2 linked regions of the Saccharomyces cerevisiae S288C genome follow. The protein of the gene in region 1 interacts with the protein of each later gene in a biochemical or structural test. Each region holds a gene or a part of one and is shown on either strand. Other genes may lie near its edges.

Region 1 (4,288 bases):
TTTTTATGATGTATAATATTACTTGCATTATTATTCTTCAGATTTGTTTTTAAACAGCGTTACTTTGTAACATGAGATTGTGTGTATCAAACCAATTCCTGCTTTAAACGCATCTAATTGATTAAGTCCCCTGAACAATCAGCTGAGGTCAGAGATCATGCTTCCAGCATTCATTATCACATGGATCTTATATATTATGAAGGTATGTAATATTCTGTGAGTCATGTCTACAAAAATAAATTATAACAAGTTGTTTCTTTTTTATAGACTTCCAAATCTCTATCAAGAAATCCTAGTATGAATATTGTACATAATGTTATCACTTTGATCAAAAGCGAAGTCTCAAAAGTCATCAGTCGGTATTTTCCGATCATAAGATATTAAAGGTACTTCGTTCTTCTTATCAACAAAACCTGGCGCCCGTGAATCATTTAGAAATTTTGGAAAAGCAATATTATCAGGACGTTTTAGTTGCTGAAGCCATATAATTGTCTATTTGGAATAGGTCATTTTTTTCTTGTAAAAAATGATAAGATGTTTTTGGAAGATGTAACTTGTTTCTTCTGAGGTGTGGCAGTATGTTGTGAGTTTGGTCTTTTCCGTGAAAACAACAATCTTTTTTCCCCGAAAGAAAGGTTTTTGGATGATTCTTCAGCACCATTTAAGCCTTCCGACAGTTTCAATGCTAAATGATAGTCTGCGTGCTCTTGAAGAGCCTTCTGGTCTGTAAAAGTCACCTGGTATTTACAACATTCCAACTTCGGAGTTTTCTCGTCAGCTTTCGAGCTGGTAGTTTTTTCCTCATCTTCCTTGCCTGCTGAGCTTTTGAAAGTATGGACCTGATTGCCAAACATATCTACAACAGTTTTTTGTAAATCTATAATATCGAAATTAGTAATTGTCATACTTAGTTTTGTTAAAGGGTAATAACTTTTGTTCTTTCCTTTAATATCAAGGTCCGTGACAAATTTTATGCCTACTTTTAGGAGTTCGTGACTCTGGAAATTGATGCCCTTGTACGCAACTGGACCTGATTTTCGATATACTTCGTAGGATTTTGTTTTTAAAGATATAGATACTGTTCTTGGTATTACGATCTTGTTATACTCCTGTTCCAGATCCTGAATCCTGGACGTAAGCTCAGCGCAGAAGACCTCAAGCCAAGAAATACAGTCCACGATGGAATTGCACGATTTTCCTCTAAGATTTTTGTTTGACATCATACTTTTTACAACAGGGCGAGAACTTAAGGGCAGACCGTACCGGCCTCTACTTAATTTAAACAACTTTTCTGCTAAATCTGCTGTTTTCAAAGGGTCGATATTGCTGGTTGAGCGATCATAATCAGATTGCTTAACTTTAGCATCTAAAAATTCCTTAAGCTGGCCAGCATTATCAGGCCACGTCTCTCTGATGTGTTTAATACTGTTTTCGTGGGGAAGATCCAATACGTCAATTAGTTCTTTGCCAAGAACGCCGCCTAAGGTCCAGAATGATGTAATTTCAAACTTTCCGCAATCTAAAAAATCTAATAAACAATCATTTTTCACAATTGTTTGGGCATCAGGTTTTTTGTAATTAGAAGCCAACTTGCAAACATTTTTGGTGCTAGACAAACCACACGAAGTAGTATAACCGAGAATATCTTTTATGCTATCTCTGATACCCTTGCATACCTGAGATCCTAGTGCAAGTATTACATCGTCCCAATCTGTGATCAGATCTCTGCCCTCTGGATTGAAAACATCGCCTTCAAACTTCAGAGACTTTATCTTTTCGGGTATAAGAGGTAGATGGGAATTTATATCATAGTTGCCCCCTATAAAAGCCTCACGAATATTGCTTAATGCATCTTTCAGTTTCAAGTCGCCTGTAAGCTCGTACTCATTATCAAACATTAGCATATTGAAACAAATCCGGCCCAAATCAAGAAATACTTCATCAATACTCGCCCTTTCGACTAGATCACATGCGCTTTTGAAAATCTTCAGCGCCTTGCGACTTTCCCTCCTATATGGTTCCAGTGATACTTTATGATCTTCCACACTTATCTGCTTTGCAGGATCCTGCACCCAAGATCCACATCCATCATGATATTGCCAAAAATCTTCTCCCTTTTTAAAAACGGCTGTATGGATCGGTATGAGGTTACTACATTTTTTTAGTGCTTCCTGAATCGTATCCATCCTTGATATACCATACTTTCTTGCTGCATAAGAGACTGCAATAATGGAATTCCACTGAACGCAGACTACCGGATCTTCTTTGCTTAAGCCACATCGCATCTGCTCAACCTGTGCAAAAAAGGCATTCATATCTATGTGGGCGATACATGCTAAGGAGGACTCGTATGCTTTACTGGGGGAACCAAGCTGAATCAACTCCTTCCAAGTAAATTTTGACATGCTTTGTCTTGTTTTATCAAAGCCGTTCAAAAATGAGCAGGCCTGCGCTAGAAGACTACAATAAGTGGTTTATACTTTTTTCGCCGCGATAAGGTATAATTATATAGGTACTTTAGTTAATCCGAAATTATAAGAATTGCCCAAAATTAAACTAATATTGTAAAATGGACTCGAAGTTTAAATTGAACTATTAATTTGAACCTATTTTCTTCTTCTTGAACATACAATAGGTATCCTATGATCGGCAGGATTAGGTAGCGTTTAATTTTATCCTTAGTACATTTTTAGAGTAATATTTTATATGGCAACCATGTTTAGATTGAAAGTTGCAACATCCTATCATGCCATTGATGTATGTAAACCTTTCAATTAGAAAAGAAGGCCATGCACATAATGTTTTTCAGGCAAATATATATTTAGTTAATGAAAATGGAATTAACGAAAGAGAAGTAAAAAAAATGAACATAAACCACATATAAAATAACAACTGATACACACTATCTTAGTTTATTATTTTAAAATATTCTCTACTCTAATACATAAGAATACGTAAAACTCAAAAGTTCCTTTTTGTATTTGCAGAAGGATTTTTAAATTGAATAATTTTAATCCGTCACCATAATAAGATATTTTATCCAGTTGCAGAGCCTGAACGGGGACAATAGCAACACTTCAATGCATTGGCTACATGCAAAGAAGGATAGCCTTTTTAGTTATGAGTGGTATCGTTGAAATAATTCTACAATAATACAAGCAAGTGAAAGATGGGTTTCAGGAAGCTTGGATGTCAAGACAAAAAATTTGCAAAGAGAAGGGTCAAATACTAGAAACCTGCCTGATATTTACGTCGATGAACAATTTGGCCCATTTCATAGATGGAAATATCTATTTCAACATGTAGACGGTTGATTGAACACAGCCGGACTACAATTTGCTGCAACAGTAAAAAAAAAGAATATAACGTGAAGTAAAATATTTTGGTTTATATGTTAGATTAAAGCCTTTTAAATTAAAAGTACAGAATAATATATGGAATGGATTTTTGATGTTATAAACAACCTTAGTTTTCTGGAATTTCAATTTCACCAGCGTTAATACCTTCAATGATGTCATGAGGGTTCTTGAAATCAACACGACAACCGACAGATTGAGCAGTACCCAAAATTTCCTTAGTAACGGAAGCCAAAGTTCTACCGAAGGATTTGTCTCTCATTTGTCTGGCAATTTCAATAATTTCATCCAATTGGATGTTACCGCTATGCTTGACGTTCTTATCCTTCTTTCTGTCTCTTGGTGGTTCCTTCAAAGCAGTAATGACCAAAGAGGAAGCAGATGGAACAACAGAAGCAGCAGCTTGTCTGTTTTGGATTTTCAATTGGACAGTAACTTTGATACCTTTGAATTCCTTGGTGGCCTTGGCGATATCTTCACCAACCTTCTTTGGGGATAAACCCAATGGACCGATCTTTGGAGCCAAGGCGGCGGAAGCACCGACTTCACCACCGACAGCTCTCAAGTACAAGTACTTAACTTCATTTGGATCAAACTTTGGAGGCATATTGACTATTGATTTATCCTTCTATTGGGCACTTGGGGTTGCTTTAACGGGAAGTAAGTAAATAATTTAGGTACTGTTTTTATTCCATTTTCATACTAGTAATGTACCGCCAAAGAAGATACAACATTGAGAAAGATTAGCGGAAGCGTCGTCGAGCACCTGTCCTGGTGTGGCGACAAGCATTTTCTCGTAGAAGGAGCATTAACATTTTCTCGGCCTAGAGCCAGGGGGCTTAGGCGGAAACCTTCGGAAAGGGAAAAAAGCGGCTAGAGGGGACTGCCAGGCTGCTCGAACACAAAGCGAAGTAGACATATCATATTAGTAT
Region 2 (5,054 bases), on another chromosome or scaffold:
CAAACCTACTTCCACTACGGAAACTGTAGCAGCTGCAGCTACCGCAGCAATCTTGGAGCAAGATGGTAAGGCCATCGTTGTATTATCTACTACAGGGAACACGGCAAGGCTACTGTCGAAGTATAGACCAAGCTGCCCTATCATATTAGTAACAAGACACGCAAGAACGGCAAGAATTGCGCATTTGTATAGAGGTGTTTTCCCATTTCTGTATGAACCGAAACGCCTAGACGACTGGGGTGAGGATGTTCATAGGCGCCTAAAGTTTGGTGTTGAAATGGCGAGGTCTTTCGGAATGGTGGACAACGGTGATACTGTTGTTTCCATTCAAGGATTCAAAGGAGGAGTCGGCCATTCCAATACCTTACGCATTTCTACTGTTGGTCAAGAATTCTAGTAAAAATTAAAGTCCTTATTTTTTTTACTTAATTTTATTTAATTGTCCATTGTGTCAGTTATTTTTTTTTTCTTTGGTAATAATCATGCAGATATTACAGGTAATGTTCGCAAACTGCGTGTTTACTGTATGCTGAAATGTTTTTTTTTTTTTAATTCAAACTTCAAAGTCCATGTCAAGTTTACGCACAGTCTGGTAAGTATGTTTATTTCTGTTTAAAAGTGGAATTATATCATTGAGTAAAATTCTTTCCCACGTTTGGAAGCCTGAATGATCCTGATTTAAAAAGGCGCAGAGATTTAATTCCCTTGATATTAGGTTTGATAAATGAAGAACTAAATGGACTCTATTAGAATCGCAAAGTTTAATCAAATATTTCACGAATAATTTAACATCTTTTTCATGCGGCCCTCCATCACCTAAAGTTTCGGCAACCCATTGTTTCACTAATTGACAAATTTTTTTGAACCGTGTCAGATTTTGGAATTTGATCGGCTGGAATATACTATTTTGGCCCATGAAATGATTTTTCTCGTTCTGTAGGCTCTCTTCTCTCCTTTTTATCTTTTCTTGTAGGTTTCCTAACTTTGTCTGTTGGATTTTTTTCTGAATTCTCAAGTCGTGCCTTACTTCTGCTCGAATTTGGGTTGGTAGTTCATTCATAAACTGTTCTTCCATAGTACTGGGCAAATCATTTACTTCTAATCTGGAAATGGCAAATCCTTTTTTTTTAGAGCTCAATGAGTTTGAAGTCAACCCGGATTCTTTTCTCTTATAATTTCTTTTCTCGAACTCGTTGTTAATGTCATTTTTTACATCTTCCGGTAAGGCTTCGAAAGCTCTGTTCGTCACTATTGTTTTAAACGGTAACCTCAGTTTCAGCTGATTGTTATCCGGACCCACATCAACCAATTTGTTGAATTGTAGAGCAAGACCTCTTAATTCCATTGGAGGGCAGCCCAAAGTTCGATACAAACTTTTCATTTCGGTAGCAATAATTCCAAATTCGTTTGTTGGAATACCTAATCTGCTGCTCCGACTGAATGAGTCGCACCTTCCCATCCCCATATATTTTGGGGGTTCAATTGGAGCGTCTTTACATCTTCTCATCAGTTTTAATGTGATTTGTGACGTTGTTTTGTTTATTTCATTCAATTTTTCTAAAAGATACTGACAACCTCTTTCTATGAACAAGTCTACCTGAGTGATATTTTTAAATCTGATTCCCCAATTGATATCAATTGATAATGATTTTCTTTGTAAGACTTCTTTGGGATCGTACAGTATTTTCAAGCTTTCTTCATCATCTTGGCCTTGTAACGCGAGATGAATCTTCATACCTAACTTAGAGCCGACGCTCGCCTTCAAAGCATCTAAAGTATATCTTTTTCTCAAGTCATTTAAAGAATGTGGGCTATCAAACGTTGATTCTAACCTTGACAGAGTAGAATGCCCAACTCCAGGCAGATCATCTAGTTTGAAACTAGACCAGAATTCTTCAGATAGGTTACTCTTAAACGTGATATTGTAACCATTTGGTTTCGCCATTTTGAGAGCTAGTCTTGCTAACACAAGAGAATCGGAACATCCAATGCTCACTGTGCAACCATTCGTTCCTTGAAAAATTTCTTGGCGTATTTCTTCGCACAGTCTTGCATTTAAGGTATTAGTGTTATGAATATTATCAGGGATTATCCTCACACAAACAGCTTCATCAATAGATATAGGTAAAATCAAATTGAATATGTTCAATCTTTTGAGAGTACTGTAAAAGGCTTCCGATTTTAATTGAAATTGCTCAAAGGTATATGGTAATGATATTAGTTTGATCCCATTTGGCAACATCTTTTCAGCTTGAGACACCCACATTCCATTTTTAATCCCATATGACCTTGCTACATAATTGCAACTAGCTATATCGGAGTTTTTAGTACCATGGCATACCACTATAGGATCCCGTTTAAAATCACATGCTGAGAAACTAGAACTTCTACATAGATACGCAACAGTTGCAAAAAAACAGTCAAAATCGATATGAAAGATAATGTAGGTATCCTTATCCGTAATTTTGGTGTACTTGTGGATGTTTTCATTCAGAAATTTATCTTTCAGATTGGCCTTCCATGCGGAGAGATGATGTAATCTCGAATGAGCAAAATAGGAAGTAAGGAAATCAGGATCATCACAAGCGACTATCCTTTTCGCCTCCAAATTATTGAGATTTACTGGTGACTGCTGTTCTACTGGCAACAATGCCGACCCTACACATTTAGATCCTTTGTGCAGGCTAGTCTCTGAGGGCAATGGAATTGAATTTACGGTTTTACAATTATCTAGTTTTTTTTGCTGTTCATCAAGTTTAGATGTTAACGAGTAATTTTGCCAGGGCAATAATCTTGCTTCTTTGACGCTATCAACTATCCAATCCGGACTGACTACTTTGTAATTTGCAAATTCAATCCTTTTCTTTAATGGTAAATTGGAAGCCACTATGTGAGTAACCGTTTTCTTTGAAGACAAATAGTGTAAAAATTTTCCGCCATGTAAAACTATCATCTCGTGTAATTGCAGTCTTCCAGGTTTGGTGTAGCCATTTATATAGATGACGCAATTTTTGAATATTTTACTGCTTTGACTAGAAATTTGATCTTTATATTGATCTTTTAATATTTGATCTTGCAGGGTTTGTCCGTGCGCCTTCTCGTGGAAATAAGCCTCCCTAGTATACACAGTATTTTTTTTAACATCATCACCATTGCTATCACTTTCCTGGATCTCGATGACGCTACGAGCTATAGGTGAATCTTCGCCACCGCCAAGATCAGCATGTAATTCATCACAGCTAATATTTTTAGTAGTAAATCTTAAAGTACCTGCAGTTGGATTAGAATTATTCTTATTAGTTTGGGAGAGTTGGTTGACATATTCAATTAAGGAATCATCGCTTAACGTAGATAGAAAAGACCTTGCATTCAAGCCGCCGGTCTTTGCTGTTAAATGTGAATCATTGACACTTTGCTGGCTAAGGCAATTGTTTTTATCAGGTGTTTCCCTATTTATAGAGTATTCCAAATCGCTGTCCAATAAATCTACAAGACCACCATGTTCACCCATCGCTGGATATGCCTAGAAATGCAGTATCGATTTATTTTGAGAAAATCTGTCAACTCGTTACTTCTTTGATAGGGAAATCTTTAGTTAAATTTGTTTAAAATTAAGAACCAGGTCTTTAGACTATGCCAAAAGGTATTGGTGCTTAAAGGTTGCCGTAAACTCTAACTCTATATATCTCTAAGCCAATGTTTAAGTTGATGCGATGTGCATGATCACTTCACATTTTTTTCATGATTTTGTTTTCTTCCTTAGCTACTTTTTTCCGTCTTGGTCTGTGTAAAAAAAAAATCGCTTCACTGAAGAAAAATATAAATAAAAAAAGGACATCAGCAAGTTCGTAGTCAATAAATGTGATGAGTAATTTGCGATAATCTACCCCAACTCAAAGCATTCAATTCAAATGAAAGAAGAGTTCGTGAATTTTAATCTGGCTTACAGATTGGATCATAGCTTCTAATATATCTTCCTTTTTATTTTAAAGTGATTAAAATATGTGGATGTCTGCATTAAGGTGAAGGCAGACTATAGTGAAAAATAGTAGCAAAGGCTTCATATAATGAACTACCTAGTTGTATTCAATTGGAATCTGTGAACGCGGCATTAAAAGAATATTTGAGCTTTTTTTGATTGTATTAACCTGAAGCTATCACGGTTTAGACTCATTAAAAGAAAAATATCCGGTTGTATCGGATAACAACACCGCTGTAGTAGCACAGTTTTTTGATCATAGTTTCATTATTTTTTTAAATATGCTTGTATACAGTAATCTAGTTTTGGACGGATTATTCATGTCAGTAAGATTTTACTATCTACTTTAAAATTATCGAAACAGATATCAACTATACATCCACTCATTATTGGCATAGCGAAATAAAATTTATGAATAGGAAGGATATAAAACGAAAATTGAAATCGTTTAGTATTATATGAAACTATTAGTCTTTTCGTTTTCGTCGTCATACTTACATTCTTCTTTTATAAATATTGTTGTGCCTAAGAAACAAAATTAAGTAACTGTCTAAAACGAAGTTGCAAAAAAAGGGGCGAGCTGGGAATTGAACCCAGGGCCTCTCGCATGCTTTGTTCCTCCTGTTTGATCAGGGGGATCGCCCAAAGCGAGAATCATTCCACTAGACCACACGCCCATACAATTTGTGATTTCTCAAAGTTCAAGATGAAGTATTATAATTTTATATTCATTTTCCTCAGTCCCAAAAACGAATGGTTGAAGAGAACTGTTGGAATAAAAATCCACTATCGTCTATCAACTAATAGTTATACTATCAATATATTATCATATACGGTGTTAAGATGATGACACAAGTTATGAGAAGCTGTCATCGAAGTTAGAGGAAGCTGAAGTGCAAGGATTGATAATGTAATAGGATAATGAAACATATAAAACGGAATGAGGAATAATCGTAATATTGGTATATAGAAATATAGATTCCATTATGGGGATTCCTAGACCCTCGAGGAGAACTTCTAGTATATTCTGTATACCTAATATTATAGCCTTTATCAACAATGGAATCCCAACAAT

Evidence for each region.
Region 2: the proteins of RAD30 (region 1) and REV1 form a complex in vitro, tested with the Saccharomyces cerevisiae proteins (3 studies listed by BioGRID).

What each region holds. Positions count from the first base shown.
Region 1 is NC_001136.10:1,301,291-1,305,578, reverse strand, and holds RAD30 (DNA-directed DNA polymerase eta), read right to left. Parts: upstream 2,406-4,288; coding exon 507-2,405; downstream 1-506. Other genes in the region: 60S ribosomal protein uL11 RPL12B, read right to left, coding at 3,466-3,963. UniProt on the Saccharomyces cerevisiae protein: DNA polymerase specifically involved in DNA repair. Plays an important role in translesion synthesis, where the normal high fidelity DNA polymerases cannot proceed and DNA synthesis stalls. Plays an important role in the repair of UV-induced pyrimidine dimers.
Region 2 is NC_001147.6:980,285-985,338, reverse strand, and holds REV1 (deoxycytidyl transferase), read right to left. Parts: upstream 3,512-5,054; coding exon 554-3,511; downstream 1-553. Other genes in the region: pyruvate kinase PYK2, read left to right, coding at 1-397. UniProt on the Saccharomyces cerevisiae protein: Deoxycytidyl transferase involved in DNA repair. Transfers a dCMP residue from dCTP to the 3'-end of a DNA primer in a template-dependent reaction.